Lepisosteus oculatus: one gene and its partner. The protein of the gene in region 1 interacts with the protein of each later gene in a pairwise test. Links are inferred from orthologs where the notes say so. Each region holds a gene or a part of one and is shown in the gene's direction. Other genes may lie near its edges.

What was found. The genes of interacting proteins can lie anywhere in the genome.
Region 2: the proteins of dtnba (region 1) and hmg20a interact in binary tests that used the Homo sapiens proteins (3 or more experiments, as listed by UniProt). The two-hybrid records come from large-scale screens. The link is inferred for Lepisosteus oculatus from reciprocal best matches to the Homo sapiens genes DTNB and HMG20A.

Annotation. Positions count from the first base shown.
Region 1 is NC_090697.1:47,492,191-47,502,973, forward strand, and holds the start of dtnba (dystrobrevin beta), read left to right. Parts: upstream 1-6,908; 5' UTR 6,909-6,977; coding exon 6,978-7,054; intron 7,055-9,485; exon of another isoform or gene 9,486-9,505; intron 9,506-10,094; coding exon 10,095-10,162; intron 10,163-10,783.
Region 2 is NC_090700.1:51,014,408-51,024,812, forward strand, and holds the start of hmg20a (high mobility group protein 20A), read left to right. Parts: upstream 1-5,788; 5' UTR 5,789-5,897; intron 5,898-10,405. UniProt on the Homo sapiens protein: Plays a role in neuronal differentiation as chromatin-associated protein. Acts as inhibitor of HMG20B. Overcomes the repressive effects of the neuronal silencer REST and induces the activation of neuronal-specific genes.

The DNA of each region.
Region 1 (10,783 bases):
TTTAGGTCCCTCTTCATGATGAATTTACAGCTATAGCATAATTTGTCTTGCTTTAAATATAAAATGCAAATTGCCTTTTCTTCTTGTTTTCTTGCCCGTGATTAAGCAAGGCCTAGTTATTATGTCCTTCAACTATTTGTTCATTACTGCAAGGGCAAAAAAGATGCCAACCACTCCTCTTCTCTGTATTCAGCCAGCAACAACTGAGCAACCTGCTGGTGTTCTGTAGTGATGCCTTCACTCACAAAAACGTTGGGTACTTTTCAGCCTGGCCTTGTTTGTCACACAGTATTTGCAAGCATATTAGTCCTGCAGGTCTTTTCTGTAGTACTTTTTGAGACAATTTAGCTTTAACATTTCTAACACAGTCTAAAGAGTAACTTCATATGGGTTTATGTGATTTTTTCCATTCCTTGTGAACCATCCAGAAATGTATTGATGAGATCCATGAACTGATAAATAACTAGCATCTTGCAGCGAGATGAGTCTAATAGCATCTTATTTGAAACCTTTCTTATGTGTTTTTGTTGTTCTGTACTACTATCCTGTCCCTATTAGAAAGACAATATATGTTGTAGTATATTACATATACAGTACTATTACATAGTATAAATGTTCATTACAAAAATAGTGATAGTAGTTAATTGCTTCAAGGATCTCATCCAACAGTTTCTTCAAAGAAGCCAGGGTATCAACTCTGAGAATATGACTCGTTAGCTTGATCCATACTCCCATAACTCTTTAGGGATGTGTGCTTACTGTTCTCAATTTTGAATGCACCTCCATGTGCTGTAGTTATCTCCTGTTCTCTTTGGTTTGTGTTTCTCTGTACTTTCTGAAGGAAACTGTTATGTTGAACCAGTTGGATATTTCAAAGTTTCAGCTCCAATCAAATGGGTGGGTAGCTTGTTCCATACTCCTGCATCCCTTTGGGTAAAGATGCACCTCCTATTCTCAGTTTTAAAATGCTCTGACACGTAGTTTCCACTTGTGTCCTCTGATTTGTATTTCAGTTTTCATTTAGAAGAATCAATGTCTTTGAAGATTTTAATACTTATATGTGGACCTTTCATAATCTCCTCCTATCATTTTGTTTGCCTTTCTAACTGCTTCCCCAATTTGTCTAGACAATGGAAATTATATAACTATATAAACACCTCATTTTCATGAGTAAAATACTATAATGAACTCGAGCACCAGTATATTACCTTTTCTTAGATCATACTGCATATCATTTTTATGTCTTGTGGATCTTCTGCCCTGGAATGTGTCCATGGATTATACCATGCAAATGAGAGATGGAGCAGTTGGCACAGCTTGAGGCATAGCACTGCGTATTGTTGACACACGCACAATTCAGAGGCCTTATTGTGATCATGCTCAGTACAGAGTTGCATGTCCTTGAAAATGAACTCTAAGTCTTGCATCTCTCCTTAGTATGGAGTATCAGCCTGTTGCCATCGTAGTCATTTGGGAATAAACAGCTATTAGGTTTTATCAGCAGTGTATGTAATCATGGTAGAAGGATCATTCGTACAGGATGAAAAAAAGAATAGTTTGTGAAACAGTTATCAATTGAATATCTCTTTAATGGTCACTTAAACAGTGGGATTTGCCTGCTACAAAAGTGTAATCCAGGTTGTGCTCTGTGAAAGGGTGTTGCATGAAAAGTCAGATTAACTTAATTTAAAGTTCAATGAGGCATTTTTGTGGTTTGTCTGAGTTATTTCACTGGCCTGTCATAGATGGGCTCATGGTTGTACATGGTTGTACAGATGGACTGGAAAAATCATGGTAAAGTTCTTTACTGAAGGATGTAACAGCAGTGATATCAGTGCTATACTGTAGATGTGTACTTAAGGGCAAAATTTCTTAGAACATACAAAAGCATTCCTGTCTAAAGAGCAAAGTTGGTCCATACATTGACTGAATTGCTAGCTTGATTGGTACCATATGATGGAGTTTTCATTACAGATTTCTGTTGCTTTCAAGTCTTCATCACAGCTTGTTACTGTACCAGTTCTATTTTGTGATGCATTGGACTGAAACTTATTTTTACACTCCTTGGGGCATCAGTATTGTCTACATGCATTCTTGCATATGTTTTGTCATTTTCATGTGTAAAAGGTTTGTTTGTTCATGTCCTGCTATTTTCTGCATGTTCAGATATTGCTGTATTGTTATTCGCAGGCATTTGACATTTCACATTCTGAGAACTCATTCTGTAGATCCTTGAAATAAATCTCGAGCCTAGAACTAGATGTATAGAGTTTTACAAAGCTCATAAATAATGTTTCAGTATTTTAAGTGGTAGAGCCTCTTCTTTGGCTCTAGTTATCTTCCTGTTTTGGGATTTGAACTTCTAAATATTTCCTCTTTTGCGGTCTTTATGATTGTATACTGTACTTTTTGTTTACAGTATTGTCTTTGTTTATTGAAAGTTCAATTAAAATGTATTTCAATGTGTGAACATATTAGTAAAGATGTTATGACCGGTTATTAAAAATATTACATTTATCTAACTATAGGGATAATCCTTTAATCCAAATTGAGTATGGTCAGGATTAAAGTCATGTTATTACCATTAATGAATCTATCAATCTACAGTAGATGTTTGGATTATAATAATAATAGTAATTTTATAAGTGTTTAAACCCTTAGATGTCACAAGCCTAATCTAAATCAGGTGTACACAATTGACATAATGAGCCATGCAACTAATTAAGTGACCTTTTTGTAAACTCCCTCAGTCAGATTCTGAATTTCAATCAAAGATTGAACCATGCAGACCAAGGAGCTTTCAAACACCATTTGGCACCAAGATAGTTGTGTAAAGGCACAGATTAGAGGGAAGGTAAAAAACATTTCAGAAACAATTAATACTGTATCTCTTTGAGTGTGGCAAAGTTGATCATTCCATTGTGGAATATACCCTGAGTCTGCCTGGATCAGGCTATCACTCTAAACTGAGTAGAAATTGAATATGAATGCTGCAGTGAGGCCTACAGTGACTTGTGGTGTTCAAAGTATCAGTTCAGATGATACTCTGAGAATTAATAATGCCCATGTGTCAACAATATCCCAGTCACTTTTAAATTAATTAAAAATTTCACTTTTACTTAAAGTATGGATGACTTAAAGTATGGAACTTTAAAAATCTGAGTGGAATGTAAGAATTTGAATAACGTAGGAAGTGTTTAGGGGAGAAGTAGCATTAGGCGTACAATCGTATGCGTGTCTGTGTCTCTGATTGTGTCTATGAGTGCCTTGAGACGGAATAGTGTCCCGTCCTAGGTGTATCCTGCCTTGTACCCATTGCTTGCTGGGATAGGCTCTGGCTCCCCCACGACCCTGAATCAAATGAAGCGGTTAGAAAATGGATGGTAAAACTAAGACACTTTCAATTTTGAAGGCAGGCAAACTGAGTATTATGCTATAGCATTCTGAAGTGAAGTGAACCAAGTGAAGGCTTCAAATTCCTTATGTTGTGTTTTCTCATAATGGGGTTGGATACCCTTTTCATGCAGACTGATGGGCTTATACAGAAAGTTATGTATAAAAGAACATGTGCCAGTGTTTTATTTTCCTCATGCCAGTATTTCCATTAAAGTGCAAGTAAACAGCTTAGTTTGGACCCAGTTATGAAGCTCATATACAAAATTGTGTGGTCCAGAGGCTTTTGTGTGTCACAGAATATTAAGTTGTGAATGGTTAGTATAGTCACTCATAGTATTTATTATGTAACATAAGGGCCTTTTCTTTAGACATTTGGAGCCTACAGTATAGTTTATTTATCTTTCTCCAAGCATATCTATACTATAGGCTATAGGCATTCTGATCTCTACTGTCATGGAATCTATGATTAATTATACATTTAGGAACTGAATGAGCTGTATTTATTGGTGCAACTAATTGATTAATGCAATGTACATACCACTGTGCATCAAAAAGCTGTGAGTGAATGCAACAGTATCCACCTGGTATACTGTATACCTACAGATCTAATTTGCTATTTTTAATATGTCAGTTTTTAAAACAAAAGCTAACATTAATACTTGTAAAAAGGTGTAATGTGTTAAACAAATAATAGGGAAAAGACAGTTTGGTATGCAGGCATGCATGTATTTCTGGATTTGACAAAGGAAATACAGATTAAAGATAATTTCCCAACATAACATGAAAGGCTAATAAATATCAGTTTTATGAGCCGTTAAAGATTATTTTAGAGCATGCTTAAAGAACATTATATTGGTGTAAAAAGGCAGCTTGGTTTTGTGGAGTACAAACAGTATGTATGTACAGTAATGGAATAGAAATTATTCAGAGAATGTTTAAATATTATAATGACAAAAGGGTTTCTCTTAGTTCAGATTTCTTCAGTCTGAACAAAGGGTTACAATTTAATAGCAAATACTATATGATATTCAAAGTATGTAGTTTTTCAATTGTACTAGATTTTTAATAGGAGAGATAAAGATACTGTAATACATTAATATAGAGACAAAATACTGTACAAAAATTAAAATAAATAAAATATCTGTGAACATAATATGTTTGAATGCTTTCACTGAGGAAACGATTCAAACATACATCTCGTTGTATATCAAAGTTTTCATAAAACAAGTGCAGTATATACAATCCATAGGAAAATGGGATTAGTGAGAAAAGATAAAACAAAGATACAGTGTGTATTTTTTTATTTCAATGTGCATTTTTTGTAGGGGCACATGCTTTGGGGACCACAGTAAAAAAGGTAAAGTAGAGGTAGCATGCTGACAAGGTAAAGTGGATGTGAATAGCAACATTGGAATAAATTGTGTTTCCTGGTTATGGCAGAAGAAAGCTGTGCAACAATAAGTTGAACTAAAAGAGAAGACCAGTAAAAATTATGGAGGTCATTCATTAATTATTTAACTTCTGTAAGCCTTCAGCTACCGCTAATATCATTAAAACATTTAAAGTAATATGTTTTTTTTTTTTAAATCAAGAATTTCCTTAAACTGAATATTAGGATTAAAAGATTGAATACTATAAATAATCTAAACTCCATGTTTCATTGCTTTTAGTAACCCCTGAATTGGTGTGAGCGGTTTATTTGCAGAGATTTGGAAGGTTTTTCATGCTGGGTCAGTGACTCAGTGCTTGAGTGGAATCCTGGGGTGAAATAGTCATTTATTGTTGGGTCACGTAGAAAGAAAGGTTATAACTTTTTTTGACAGTAAGACACAGGACCAGATTGCAATTAGAACGAATGCCAGATGAAGCAGCAGGTTGCTGGTCATAAATGTTTATGAGTCAAAACCACTTAAGAGGCTATTACTCATAAAAATTTAGCAACATTTACACTAAACGGCTAATGTGTTTGGAATTATAGTAATTCTAAATGGTAGAGATCTTCAGTATCATAAAGAGAATGCTTGGTTGCTTATGTACAGTAGCTCTGTTAGCATTTCCTTTCACTATCTTTAGTGCATAGTTCAGCAGATCTTTTTTGTAAACAAATCCTTAGCTTTAATGTCACCTACACCTTTAATGTCATTCAATACCTTGCATACTTATTTTGTGTGCTAAGACTGAGATGCACAATAATTAGCTATGCCACACTGATCCTAAAAAGGGGTAAAACAGCTGTCCGTCACGTCTAACTTTGACTTCATTGAAAACAGGAGACTCCTTTTTTGCACAAAACGTTATGGGACTCTGGTTTCTTTGAAGAAACTGTTTTAAAGATCAATTAGCTGCTAGCAGCCAGACAAGCTAGATGGGTTGAATGGCCTTGTCACACTTATAATGTTATATTATGATATTATTTTATACAGCTTGATACAGATGAAAACAAACCTGTGTGTTTTGAAGTGGCTAATTCTACAATGCCGCTGACAGTGAGGGGAAATGCCACACCTTCATACAGTACATATACTGAATTGCAATCGCATGTAATGTGTATAATGCATGCAATGCAAAGGTTTTGCAAACAAAAAAAACTTAAAAATTTCGAAGTGTTTCATTTTGTTTAGCTTAAATTTTATTCAAGTTGAACGTAAGAATGGTTACAGATGAGAAGAGGCCATTTGATCCACCTAGCCTGTTTTGGTATGGTAATGAGCTACACAAATTAGAAAGTCAGTTCTGAAATTTGAACCTGCTCTTTCTGAAGCCCTTAAAACTTCTACATTGTTGTTTCATAACATTTATTTGTCTTAAAGTCAACATTGGCTGTCTTATGATAGCAGCTGTAGTCTTTGCTTTTGAAAGAAGCTATAAATTAAGAGTTATGCAGTTTAAATCAATGAAGATATTTTAGTACTGCTGCTTAAATGATTGTAGCCAACTTATTTATGACTAAATGTTCGTTGCATTTAGTAAATATTTTTTTTATTTGGTGTTGTATGATTGATTGTATCATTTTGGATTATATTGCTTAAATTCCACTGTATATGGGAGATTTTGCCATCATTTTACCACTAAAAGCTACGTGTTAGGCCATATACATATTTTCTAACTAATGCCTAAACATACCACCTTGTTATTTTATCTCATTAATATAGATCTTGGCTTGATTTCTTGAATGTGTTAAAGGGTTACCAGTATAAACTGCAAAAGCAATGAGGCACATACTGTAGTGCCAAATTTATTGCTGTCAGAAGGTTATGGTGTTAAAGATATACAGTGCAATATTGTAATGAAATTAACATTCAGCATACATGATCCGTGTATATACTTATTCTCCTTTCTGTATGTAAATTTAAGGTGTTGAGAACCTCACTGTTGTTTAAAACATTGCAGTGAGATGTTATCATGAAATACGGTGTAGAAACTGTAGGCTGTATGTCTCTTTTTTCATTATTTTCTCTTTCACTCTGGCTGTGCATATCCATGTCCTGAGGAGATGCACACAAAAAGGCAGATGGGTTCACTGAGTCCTTCAGGGGCCAGAGCTGGTTCATCACATCTAACTGAGCCGGGTTGTCAAATCCATGAAGCCACTTGTTTACTGTGGCTGCTACCAGAGTCAGCAGTCATGGGAGGCACACAAAATGACTGCAATTATCAGGTACTTCTACAATAGTGACTCAGCATCACACGGCTGTAGTTCTTATGTAAATATGGCTGACAGCCTCCTGGATCTTGACAAAGGGTGGTGTGTACTGTTGAAATCTAGTTCTGTGTCTCATGTTGGTGTTAGTAAAGCACACGTACATCAGATGTGAGATACATACAGTTTTTAGGAACAACTAGTTTTTGAAAAAAAATCAAAAGTGTAGCAGAAAATATTTTTAAAAATAAATAACATTTTTATGTAATTAAAAATAGTTTAATAAAAATCCCAGAAAGCAACTATTCTTCCAGAGAGGAATTATGATTAAAAATAGTTATGTATTTACAAATCATTCAAGTACATTCATCTTGAGAATACAAGACCTTCATTTCTTATCCTCAATTTAAAGGAAGCTATGCCTTGTTGTTGTCAACCTTTTTAAAGACTTCAGCAGCTATCAAGAGTAGTTCTCAAAAGACTTAAAACAGATAAACTTACAGTTAGGGAGTAAATATGTGACGACAATGATTGAAAATGCTAAATGTCCCTGGCTGTTTTCCATTTTCAAAAGGTCCTGCTTTGTATCAGCCTCCTTCCCATCTGCAAACTTTGCAGTATTTAAGTTTTTGGGAATTGAATTTTGTATTTTATATTTTTTCTACTACCTAAGCAGTTTATTTTAAAAAAATGTCTTTTTTTAAAAAAATATTATTTGAATATTATAACAAGTAATCACTTAGTTGGCCCATATGTTATCTCATATAATTGAGCCCATATACTTATATACAGTATTTCATCTCTTTAGAAAGTTAGAATTTTCCAATAAAATGTCCATTTGAGTGGAATATCATTGTGGAAATAACATTTTGAGACCTGTGTCCCATTTGTTGATGCAACCCTGGCTCCAGTAGTGCTTCAATCTTTAATCAGAATAATATTTGTCCCCCTATAGGTTTAAAATACATTTATCTTGAGCTTGTGGATCTTTCCTTGGTCCTCCATGTTACCAGTATTGTTACTCCAAATACCTTCTTGTGAAACGAGTCTAGTAGATGTGTGGCTCAACCATTTTGTTGAGACAAATGTGTTCATGACAGGGTGCCATTATCTTGTAAAGGGAGAATAAGAATTCCTTGCTTATTCATCCTCTGCTCAATGAACTGTCCATTGAAGAGCTCAGCAGTCTTTTGTTCTAACTTCTGTTTCAATGAGGACAGTTAAAGGTTTAGCATCAGTCATCACCAAATAACGTCACAGATCTGACAACTTAATACAATGAGAAGAATTGAGCTACCCAGGTGTTGGTCTCTTATGCAAGTGTATTGGAAATGTGATGTATTCTGTAACCATATGCAATGTGACTTGCAAGGTTCTTTCTCAAAATTCTCTTTACAGATGATTAGATATCAAGTCAAAACACACAAAAAAAATTCTAACTGCATCCCAACTAATATAAATTGGAAAGTAATTTTAATTGTAACATTATGTATTAGTATTATAATGAAAAATGAAGCATCCGTGTATATGAGGACTGTATAATACTCCTACTGTACATTTTCTAAATCAGCATACACTTAATTTATTAAAACCTACATTAAAACCTAAAATATACTAAAAAGAAAACTTTTTCTGTTTAACAGTGGTGAAAGGCATTGTTGATACTGTAGATGAAGAAATCAGAAACAGGTTTTGACTGCTTACTTGTGATTATACATAATGAAATCCATATGATCAGAGAGCTTAACTTTCAAATACTCTGTGATTAAGTTGTTTGAGCACTTGTGATCTTAGTTCCATATACAGTACTGTAGTTTAAAAACTAGTGACAATCTGGTGTTCTGCCATTGTTATTATAAGTATGCAAACTAACTTGATTTTTAAGAGATCTTTTTATCAAAGATAAAAGGTTATATCAAAGGTTTCTGATAATGAAATATTTACCATTTATTGTCGCAAATGATAAATTCAATGGGAATGATACTTTCTGTACAACTTCCTGTTGCTTACCAACTGTTTAAACTGCTTACTTGATGTAGTTTGATGACATAGTGTACCATACAGCAGGTCACATTGACTAAATCTGATGGCTTAACTTGTCGTGTTTTACTAATGGGTTATGCTATTTCAAGACATTTTTATCACTTTGATGGATTCTGCTGCCTCAAAAGTGGGGAGGGAGATGTTTAAATTGAAGGACCGGGTGAAATTAAATCTGATATACTGGATAGCATTCTTTTTAACTCCTCTTTGGAGCCTGTGAGACATAAGAGAGAAGGAAAGGTCAGCTTTTCACATGGTTTCATTTTTTTCTACCACAGAATATCCTCGGTATACAGCTCAAAATATTATATTGGCACAGTCCTTGTCCAACCCAAAGACAACTGACACAGCAAGCAATAAACTGAGAACCCATGAAACGGTTCAAACTGAAAAAGTCAAAGAGAAAAGTTGTGTAAAGCCAACCTGGTAGGAGACTCAGTCACTTAGTCAGTTTTGTATACTGGACAATTGATTCCCGCACACTGTAAACTATTGTTATTCATTCTTGCACTACAAAGACCTATTTCCTGTATGATGTGCTGTACCTGGCATTTCACAGCACCTTTCATAATCTGCAGAGCCAGAGAACAATATAAATAATTATATTATTATTATTATTATTATTATTATTATTATTATTATTATTATATTCACTAACAGGAACTTTGCCACTGGCTTTCACCTCAAATCATGCACATTCAGATAAATCAATGAATGAATGAACTGGTTAATCTCAGTGGATGTTTTTTCCTACTTTCAACCCCTCTTGTACGTGAGCACAGCTTGGCTGTGAAGCTTCCTAGCAGCCTGGTAATGAGCTGCACGGGGATTCTGGGATCGGCTTCAGTTGTGCTTGCTTTGGCTGTGCTTAATGGTGGGCAAATCTGTAATTCCAACCTTTCATGTGCAAACAGAATACAAAACCGGCAACTGTACCAATTATGAAATGAGAAAAAAAAGGATTGTTAAACCCAGTGGAGCCATGCATTCAGTTAACAATATTTTCTTTCCCCAGAATGATTGAAGAGGGTGGAAAAAGAGGCAAAACCATGGCCGAAAAGAGGCAACTTTTCATGGAGATGAGTAAGTACTGAAAGGAACTTGACACTTGATAAGAGTAAATTTCAGTTTGATAGGACAAAAAGCTTGGAAAAGAGTGAAAAAACTCCTTCAAGGCCAGTGGAAGAGAAACATATTTCAATAACCTGAGTTGCACAGTGTAGCACAGTGTGAATCACAATGTTAGCTTCTGTGTTTGCATCAATGGTACATATTGTGCAGAACATTTAGAGTGCAAACCATGGGTAAGGGGAGTGACCATACAGATAACGGAAAAAGTGCTGTTGTCACTAAGGGCTTTTGTTCTTCTGAGGAGTCATTCCAGTATTTTAGTCAGTGTTTCATGTCAGATCCGTCAAAGCAAGGAGTACGTCTCTGGAGACAGCACCTCTGAAAACACACAGGCTTTTGTGTGGAAAACAGCAGCAAGGAACTTTACTGATAGTGACAATCTCTGACGCAAGCCTCACTGTCATTGCAAAATTATAATGAAATAAAATGTTACTTTTTGTATATCTGTCCTTCCAATTTTAATTGGGTTGAAATACAATTCTAATTTAAAGTATTGGAAGGATGTAAGGCTTATTTTCAACTGATAGAAAAGTTCAAGGTGAGAATGGATTGGCCTTGAGGAATCTCATGTGA
Region 2 (10,405 bases), on another chromosome or scaffold:
TTTACCAATCAGAGTAATGAAGCCAATTCATAGATGGGGGTTATTAGGAGACCAGAGTAATGTAGCCTCTATGACTTGGCTACATTACTCTGCCCTCCTCCCCCATTGATAGGTGATGTGTGGTGAGCGTTCTGGCGCACTATGGCTGCCGTCGCATCATCCAGGTGGATGCTGCACATCGGTGGTGGTGGAGGGAGTCCCCATTACCTGTAAAGCCCTTTGAGTGGAGTGTCCAGAAAAGCGCTATATAAGTGTAAGCAATTATTATTATTATTATTATTACCATGATTGGTAAAGGCCAATGGGAAATTTGGCCAGGACGCCGGGGTTACATCCCTACTCTTTTTGAGAAACTCCCTGGGATTTTTAATGATCACAGAGAGTCAAGACCTCAGTTTTACATCTCATCTGAAGGACGGCGCCTGTTTACAGTATAGTGTCCCCGTCACTATACAGGGGCATTAGGACCCACATGGATCACAGAGTGAGCGCATCCTGCAGGCCCCACTAATACCTTTTCCAGCAGCAACCTTAGTTTTCCCCAGGAGGTCTCTCATCCAGGTACTGACCAGGCTCACACCTGCTTAGCTTCAGTGGGTTTCCAGTTGTGAGTTGTAGAGTGATGTGGCTGCTAAAATGAAGGATTGTAGTACTATGTAGTACTATGGATTAGCAAGTATCCACCAGATTGAAGAATTCATCACATGGTGCTTTGATCTGATCTTCCATTGTGGCTGGTGTCAAAAAGTCATGATTTGAGTTAGTTAATAAACCTGCTATCACTACTGTCCACAAGGGGTCACCACAGTCTACAGGCCTTTATTATCCTAATTGTCATTTTTTATACTTTATACAATCTTTGTTCCAGCCTCCGGAGATATATTTATGAGCAGATAAGATGATGGGTTTATAGAATGTATGCTACATTTTTTCATTTACAAGTAATATGGTCAGTTATGTATTCAGAATAGTGAATATATAACTCCTGTTGGTAATTTATCAGACCACTTCAAAAAGTACTGTTCCTTTGACTTTTAATTTCAGAATTATGATGATGCTATCGGTGTTTGAGTATATATGTATATTTATTCTTTATTTGTGTTTTTTTTACTAAACTATTCCCTATTTTCACACTGTTCATTTTATTACTTAGTATTTTAAGATATTTTTGTATTCTATTAAACACAAAGCAGAACTTTCTTAACCTTACAAGTGTAATTTTGCTATCAATGTAAAATAAATATAGAAATGAAACCCAAGAGAAAGATCTTACTCATGAGATGTAACCAGACAGCAGTGAAAAAAGAATACACAGGATGTTCCCACCATCTGAGACCTGAAATTCAGCCAGTGAATTCCTGCGGATCTTGACCCTGACATAGTTCCCTCTCTGACTGCTGTCTTCCTGCTAATAACCAAGGAAATTAGCTTATCTGTATCTATTCTAGTGTTAGAGGTTATGCATTTACCTACCTTGCTAAAAAGACAGATTTCAGCTTTTTCATTAAGTGTTTTCCGATGGGAAGTTTAAACATTTCTTTACAATGCTTCTACTAGACAAGGCTCTGCAGCTTAGTACAGTGCTAAACTACTTTTTTTCCTGCATGCACTTCCCCACACAGCTGTTTTTCAGACAGTAGCCACTTATCATGTCAAGCACAGATTTGAGCAGGAACAACAACCGTGAATCACTTGCAGCACATCGTCTAGTATGTGCCTCATGTGATAAAATGAAATGAGAGTAAAATACAGATGGCATGAACTACTCCTTTAAAGCAGTGTGCCCAAGTGACTGGAGCCAATGACTGCAGCCGTTACCAAATATACTTCAAAGTTAAACACTGGGAGCAGTTCCCTTAAGTGAAAAAGGAATGTGCTTATTTCTCAAATTATGTAGATTTAAACTAGGTCCGGGAGTGCATTGCTTCTGGGCACAGTGATTAAACACTGGTTTGAATTCAGCAAATGCCCTTTACCCATTTGCCATAAAAATCTCTGACAGATGGAATTAAATGCTCTTGAGTGTTTAGAGTGCCTTGTCAATGCCCAATGCACTAAGTGAGCTAGCTTGAAGGCAGAATAGCTCAAAAGCCTGCATTCAAATGTAAACAGACATGTGTAACCAGCAGACCAGCGGTTCAGTTCCACAGTGAAGTATGGAGGTACTCCCCAATATTACTGTATGATCTTGTCAACTGATAAGATAAAGCTAAACCATGTGTTCAATTACATGCTACTACAAAGTATGCTTAACAGTTAAAATATAGTAGAGCATTTTGTGGTGGCTTCTTTTTTCAAGAAAACATGCTGTTGCTGAATTATAATTCACTGACCTGATGTATGGGGATTTCCGTTCTGTCATTGCCACTGTCACAACCACAATAACTATGTCATAGTTAAATTATATGTTAAAATAAAGCCGCATTTTAGACAAGGTTCACATAACATAATTTATCACTATTATATTATTGTTGTTGGGTTTTCTCATTTTTAGCATCAAGGTTCCTCACACCTAAATGGCCCTCAGGTCAAGAGCCCAGTGTCTTCTGACTTTTGTTCCAGTTACTTAAATAAACCCTTTAAAAATGGTTCCAAAAGTTTCCTGTTGTTCATGGGTTTAGTGTTGTGGGCCTTTTGTAGGTATCAGTAAATGTAACCAGTGAAGGGTGATGTCCCAGGTAGGGGGTAAGATAGAGATCTGGTGTCCCACAACTCAAGGAAGGAAGGAAGGAAATAATTACAAGCTAAAAAAGGCCAGTTTCCAACATTCTGATTTAGACTTTTAGGAATTATTTTCAGCAATTAATCATTATATGCATAACATATCTTACGTGTGGTGAGCGTTCTGGCGCACTATGGCTGTCGTCGCATCATCCAGGTGGATGCTGCATATTGATGGTGGTGGAGGTGAGTCCCCATTACCTGTAAAGCACTTTGAGTGGAGTGTCCAGAAAAGCGCAATATAAGTGTAAGCAATTCTTCTTCTTCTTCTTCTTCTTCTTCTTCTTCTTCTTCTTCTTCTTCTTTTTCTTCTTCTTCTTCTTCTTCTTCTTTTTCTTCTTCTTCTTCTTCTTCTTTTTCTTCTTTTTCTTCTTCTTTTTCTTCTTCTTCTTCTTCTTCTTTTTCTTCTTCTTCTTCTTTTTCTTTTTCTTCTTTTTCTTCTTCTTTTTCTTCTTTTTCTTCTTTTTCTTTTTCTTCTTTTTTTTCTTTTTCTTTTTCTTTTTTTTCTTTTTTTTCTTTTTCTTTTTCTTTTTTTTCTTTTTCTTCTTCTTTTTTTTCTTTTTCTTCTTCTTTTTCTTTTTCTTTTTTTTCTTTTTCTTTTTCTTCTTCTTCTTTTTCTTCTTTTTCTTTTTCTTCTTTTTCTTCTTTTTTTCTTTTTCTTTTTCTTCTTCTTCTTTTTCTTCTTTTTCTTTTTCTTTTTCTTCTTCTTTTTCTTCTTTTTCTTCTTCTTTTTCTTTTTCTTTTTCTTCTTCTTCTTCTTTTTCTTCTTTTTCTTCTTCTTCTTCTTTTTCTTTTTCTTTTTCTTCTTTTTCTTCTTTTTCTTTTTCTTTTTCTTCTTCTTTTTTTTCTTTTTTTTCTTTTTCTTTTTCTTCTTCTTCTTCTTTTTCTTCTTTTTCTTCTTTTTCTTCTTTTTCTTTTTCTTCTTTTTCTTCTTTTTCTTCTTTTTCTTCTTTTTCTTCTTCTTCTTTTTCTTCTTCTTCTTCTTCTTCTTCTTCTTCTTCATGTATCTTTCAAAAAGCAAAAACAATTGTTTATGTAAACTATTAGCTTAAATAAAAGTGTAATTAAGTCATTAAGAGATAAGATGAGACTGTAATAACTCATTCCCTGTATAAACTATAGAGCTACGACTGAGAGTACATTAAGCTTTCTACAATAAGCAAAGTGCTAGTAATAGTAATTTAATGTTGGGTGTGTTTTTTTCTTTGTTTCTGTAGTACTTCAGTAATCAAAACTTCTATTACAGATTCTTAAAAATGTTGTATCTGACAGGGGAATCATTTAGGTCTTAGAATAGAAACATTTCTTTTCCCTCTTTTTTTTCTTTTGCTTACTGTCTCACTTGCTGGTTTGGTAACATCAGTACCATTGTAAAAGAATGAATAAAATAGTCAACTTAAGTTGTAAATTAATTGGGGCAAATCAAATTATCTTAGATATACTCTACAAAGAGAGGGTGGCAAAGAAACCAAAGTGTATTATGGATTGTGTTTCTCAGCACCTCCACTGAGAGTTCACACTTCTCCTGTCTGGGAGACGCCCCTGTGTCCCAAGGTATAATGCTAATAGCTACAGGAAATCTTTAATCCCAGCTGCAATATCTCTTTCAAACAATGTATTCTAATTATCTTCTCTCTTATCTTACTGTAGCACTGTTGCACTTGCTTCTTTGTTGGTGAAATTCTGTCTGTCATTGTGGTGCTATCTTATATCTTATCTTCCAGTCAAAAGTCGTGTAGACTTTAAAATCCTCAAGCTCACCTATTAGGCTCTGCATGGCTTGGCACCTCAGTACCTGTCTGAACTATTATCGCCCTACTCCCCACCTCACAACCTTCACTCTTCTAATTCTGCTCTCCTTACTGTCCCCCAAGCCCGTCTACATTGTATGGGTGACAGGGCCTTCTCCTGTTATGCCCCCAAGCTCTGGAACTCTTTTCCCAAAGATATCAGAGAGTCACCTTCCCTAAACTCCTTCAAATCCAGACTCAAAACCCTTTTCTTCAGAAAAGTCTTTACTTAACTGGTTCCATTCTTCACCCCTCTGCTTTTCTTTGTACCACCATCCACGGTCTCCTCTATATATTGTAATTGTGTGTTTATCTTATGTATTCTTTTTATTTATAGTTGTCATCCTGTAAAGCGCTTTGAGAAGCCACCTTTAAAGGTGCGATATAAAATAAAGTTTATTATTATTATTGTAAAACAAATTTCCCTAATGGGACAATAAAGGTTGAACTTAAAATTAATTTACAAAAAGATTCTCAGTTAAGCAATTGAGACCCAAATCTTGGACACCTTCAAAAAAGGGCTGGGTGAAATTTTAGATTCAGTAAATTCAGTAGACTTCAGTGAAGTCTAACCCACGTTATCACTACCAAACTACTGAATTATGGCATTTATGGAATATTTATGTCACCACTAGATGGAGCCAATTGACATAGTTTTATTATTATTATTATTATTATTATTATTATTATTATTATTATTATTATTGTTGTTGTTGTTGTTGTTGTTGTTGTTGTGATGTAGCCGTATTAGCAGCAGTAGTATTCAAATGCTTTTTATTTACATCTCGAGAAGGTAAAAGAGCTCTTTATATAGGAATTAAAGTTGCCTGCTGGCACATCCAGATCGTAACAGTTTTCCAAAAATAAAATAAAACAGTGAATTAATTGAACAGCAAGCACTGTTCCTTTTGTTTGAGACCCAATTACTGTCACGTCCTACTTGTATTCATACGCGAATCCCAGGACAAGCCTATCAAAAATACATTTCCCAGCAACACCGACGGCAGTGATTCCTGCTCTGCGACAGACGCTCAGTGCCACACATTTACGGCACATTCACGTAAACTGAAATAATTCCGCGAAGAAATATAGAGCTACGTTACAAGCGAAAGGGCGGATTTATGATTATAATTGTTCCAAAATAATGTACTTTTTACATAAATTAATTAATTTAACATCTATTTTGTGTCTTCGTAGTAAAAAGAAATACAAATTCTACCAATTCAAGGGCGGATTGATCTAAAGATGAGCGTGAGTTGTCCCACGTCAGTGCTTGACGCGTAATATAGTTGAGACACGTAAGGGGGTACTTGGCATTGTTGTGATTTGTGGGTCCCCCTATAATAATATATATAACCTTTGCTCGGATCTTCAAGCGGGTTGCAGGTCAGTGTGGATTATCAGGGGTTGAATAACGGTGTTTTGAGGAAGGGTTTGGTGTGCGTTCTGTACTTAGATACAATGTGCGATATGCATCCGAATGGTTGAAAGTCTGAGACAAACAAAAAGGAAACGCACAATTCATGTGTCTCTAAAGATTGGAAACTCCGGCTACACTCTTGTTTGTTAAAGACTGTGATGGAAGTATATTTGTAAATCTATTGTTAAATAGTACTATTTTCCATGGCCCTTCGTTAAAAGCTGAATTTATTTTTGGTGTACCTTTTGTTTATTTTTCTGCCTAAACTGTTTGAGTGTTGAGGACCCCTCTTAACATTAGTTCGTGTTGTTATTAATAATATTGGTTGTTCATACCGTATCGTAAAGCTATTTCGAAAATATTTCGAATTCTGTTTTATTATTTAAACACCGCTCACTATTTTAAGTAAATTCAAAAAAATAAGACGTATTGACTACTATACTTCAAAAGTGTTATTTCGTCGCTCCCCCAACATGTTGTAGCCCCTGGAGTTTTTCATGCCATTACATTCACTCCTAAGTATGCAAGTGAATCGGTTGGCAGTATGAAATAATAAAGTATCTTAAGCACTTCTGGCTACCTTGTAGTGCCTCAGATATGGGTATAATTAAAGTTATCGTCACTCATCGAGTGGATTATGCTTCATTTTCTTCGAGGCCACATGTCACAGTATAGTTAAAATCTTGATAACAAGGTTAGAAATAAGCAGTTCCATAAGAAATATTACTACATTGCTAACCTCAAACTGCTAAGTACTATATTTCTAAAAGGTGCACATAGAAATGGTCTCTTTTTTGACAACCGTAGAATGTCCAAATTGTTTGAAATATAAAGCACTCATTGCATATACTCAATATCAGCGTTATACCATTTTCCGGTATCAACAGGATACCTAAAGGAAGGTCTTTGGAGTCGAAGAACTTCAGCAATATTTAGAAAACTGAGTATTTGATTAATTGCTTTATAAAACTAAGCAGTTTATATACTTGAAGGACTGTCCCAGGTTTTACTACAGTGACTTTTAGCAGAGCAAACAACTCCCAAGACTCTTTTATGCGACATTAAGGGTTAATAGGACAGAACATTACCTGTGTAACCCTTAGTGTGACTGGGGCAGAAGAGGGGAAAATTCATGGCTCAAGGATCTAACATCGGCATCAGTCTTAGGGTTTTAAAGTTGCGTGTGATTATAGATCATGAGTCTTTACCACTACTATATGATACCCTAAACTTCATCTTCACCCTTGAATTAAAATGCACATATTGGAAAAAAGTACTTCTGTATGTCCGTTTTCCCAAAAAAATAAATATGTTAATTGAAACACCATTTAAAAGTAGCATTTTTGAATTCATTTATGATGTCCTTGCAGTATTTGGCTTTTGGAAAGGTCATTATTTTCACCCGTTTAAAACTTATCAACTGATATGTTAGATATTTGCATGTAGCTTAATTCTTTAACGTCAGTGGGTGTTCTACAATGGAGTTATTTCTCTCTAATCATATTGTACTACTCTCCTTTGCATCTATATTGACTCCTTCCTCAACTGGAAATGTGCCTATTGTGTAAGGGCACTATGGCTGAGTGTTTTTATATGTGGCAGCACAGTTTGGGCTCTGAAATTGTGCTGATATTTTGGGTCAGCAGTAAGGTTTTGTGTGTGTGTTTGGGTAGTAGGAGACTAATCTTATATAGCATCTGTCTTGGCTGTTATTATAACACTAAAGTACAGATGTCTGAAATTTGTGCTAGCAAATTCTGTGGTTAGGTATTCCCTACATTTTGTGAGGAAGTGCTTTAAAGCTATGGTTGATTTCCTTAATGCTGCACATGGAGCAGCTGGTGGCACAGTGGTACTGATTATAAACAGCAGACGCAAATAATGTGTGTTTTTTATATAGGAAAACAACATGGGAATGGTTACACATTAAAGGGGCATATTGGCAAACAGCATTATTCAATCTCCATTTCTCTTATCAGTCAGGAGTTGTTGATTAAATGCTTTAGTTTGTTAGACATTACTAGGAGTTGATGAGGGATTAATTCTCAATGAAAGTAAATCTAGTTTTTATACCAGAGAGCTTGAACACATAGATCGAGGCAGTGGTTAGTCTACTGTTTCCTTAGTTTGGAAATAGTTATAAAAGTATGTATTTGGGTGACACAGTGTTTTTTGTTTGATAGCCCTATATTGCTTTTGCAGGATTGAGTTTATGCCAAGGTCTACTCGATGAAGCTCTGCTTTAAATGACTCTGTTCTCAAATGACTGAGATTTCCAAACACTGCTCCTTTGTAAACAGCACATGTGTAGTAGGTTGCTCTTGGGCTTCTTTATGGCATTTGTTCACCAGACATGTCCTGGAATTTCAGGAAATGTGTCATGAAATCTGGTTGATAAGTTCTGACTGCATCTTCCGTGCTCAGTAGTGGGTTCATTTCAAGCACAGATAGATCTCTGTGGATAAATTTGATTGTTCTTCCAATGCATGGTATAGGTATGTACTGGCCAGGGCTGTGGAATCCAGATGCCATGCTGCTGATGTATTTTTATCCAAAATTCTTAACTAGCCAGCAGCCATATCACCCTGCAACTCACATCTTGCAACCCGCTGAAGCTCAGCAGGTGTGAGCCTGGTCAGTACCTGGATGGGAGACCTCCTGGGAAAAACTAAGGTTGCTGCTGGAAGAGATGTTAGTGGGGCCAGCAGGGGGCGCTCACCCTGTGGTCCATGTGGGTCCTAATGCCCCAGTATAGTGACGGGGACACTATACTGTAAACAGGCGCCGTCCTTCGGCTGAGACGTAAAACCGAGGTCCTGAGCGGTCTCAGAGCGTTTCTCGAAAAGAGTAGGGATCACCATTACCTGTAAAGTGCTTTGAGTGGAGTGTCCAGAAAAGCGCTATATAAGTGTAAGCAATTATTATTACTAATTATTATTAACTTAGATTGCTTCAGTAAATGTCCCTTTGTATAAATGAGTAGTCTCCCTTCTGTAATTGCAAGTTATAATTGTTTTTTCTGTTTATACAAAATTATTACATAGAAAATATATAATTATGATCCATGAAGTTGTTTAAGCAATGGATTATTTAAAATCTTAACTTTATTTAGTACATTTTAAGTAACTTGGCTGATGCCAACAGATGTAATATTTTAAAAAGAATTCGCACTGATATTTTATTCACCAGACAATGAACTACTTTTGCAGATTTGCATGTTCCATGAACTTTATTACCCTTGATGCTGGACAGTAGAATACATCAAGTCATTATTCTGAGTCTAATTGAAAGACCACATTTCTGGTTCCCTCTGCAGTTTCCTGTTAGTCACTGTTTGTTTACTTAAGTATTGCACATCTGTCTCTCAGCTGGTCTCTGTGTGTGGGGGTTTGTGTGTGTCAGTGCCCAGTTGTTTGGAGGCTATGGGAACAGACTGTTTGGATGGAAGCAACAGCCAAAAAAATTAACCCTGCCCACATTAGGGGGAGCTAGAGCCCTTTTTTTCTTTTCTCCAAATGGCATTTTCCATCTCAGTGTTATTGTTTAATGTACAGACTCAAAATACAGAAGCTGCTGTTTGAAGTTCTGAATCGCCCTTTTGAGGGTCATTTAACTTAAGCCATCAAGTAATAGTTTCACGCTGCTCTGCAGTGAAATCCATCCTGTTTCGTATTCTCAAGACTCATGCTCACTCATTCAATTTTTCAGCTTCAGAACCACCCTAGCAATACAGCTATTAAAACCTTTTCCTTTATTGTCATTGTCTAACCAGATCCAATTAAGTAAATGAGAGGTAGTTTAGAGTTGCAGACTATTGGTAGTCTCAGTTTTCACCAGTTTGCTCAAGTGTGATAATACTGTTAACCTACAGTAAATTGGCTATGCTACCTCTTCTAACCTTTTCAAATTTTACTAAGTTGTGGTTAAGGTAAGTGGATTAACATATTTAAAACTCTGAATACTTATTGTTTCAACATAATAGACTTAGAAACAATAAACCTGGTCACACCCTGTGTCTTTAGTTAATTCAGTGGAAATTGGAGATAGACGGTGGTCTGTACATTTGTTTGGGATGGTGTGCAGGGTGTAATGGAAAAACTTTGTTTATACTTTGTAGTTATGTAAAAACTTTAAAACTTTGAAAAAGATGTGTCACTTTAAACGCTTTATATGTGTTAAATTATTAGTTTTCTTTTTTGGTCTACTGTTTTGCCAACTCTTGTTTGCAGTGGGTGACAGTTTTACAATCAAAGTACAGTAACACCTTGAGACATAAGTGACACTTTGTAAAAATACCAGTTTTCCCTCATTTTTGTGGTGTGGCAAAAGGACATTTCCTTTTTACATTTAGTGTTATTCAGTCATTTCTGGAGATTTTTGAGGACATTGTGTCCTTGTAGGACAAGGAAGCCACGTGCAGGATGCTATGACTCAGTTCCGAGGGGCTACCCTCTACCTAGCGGCGCTTGAGATC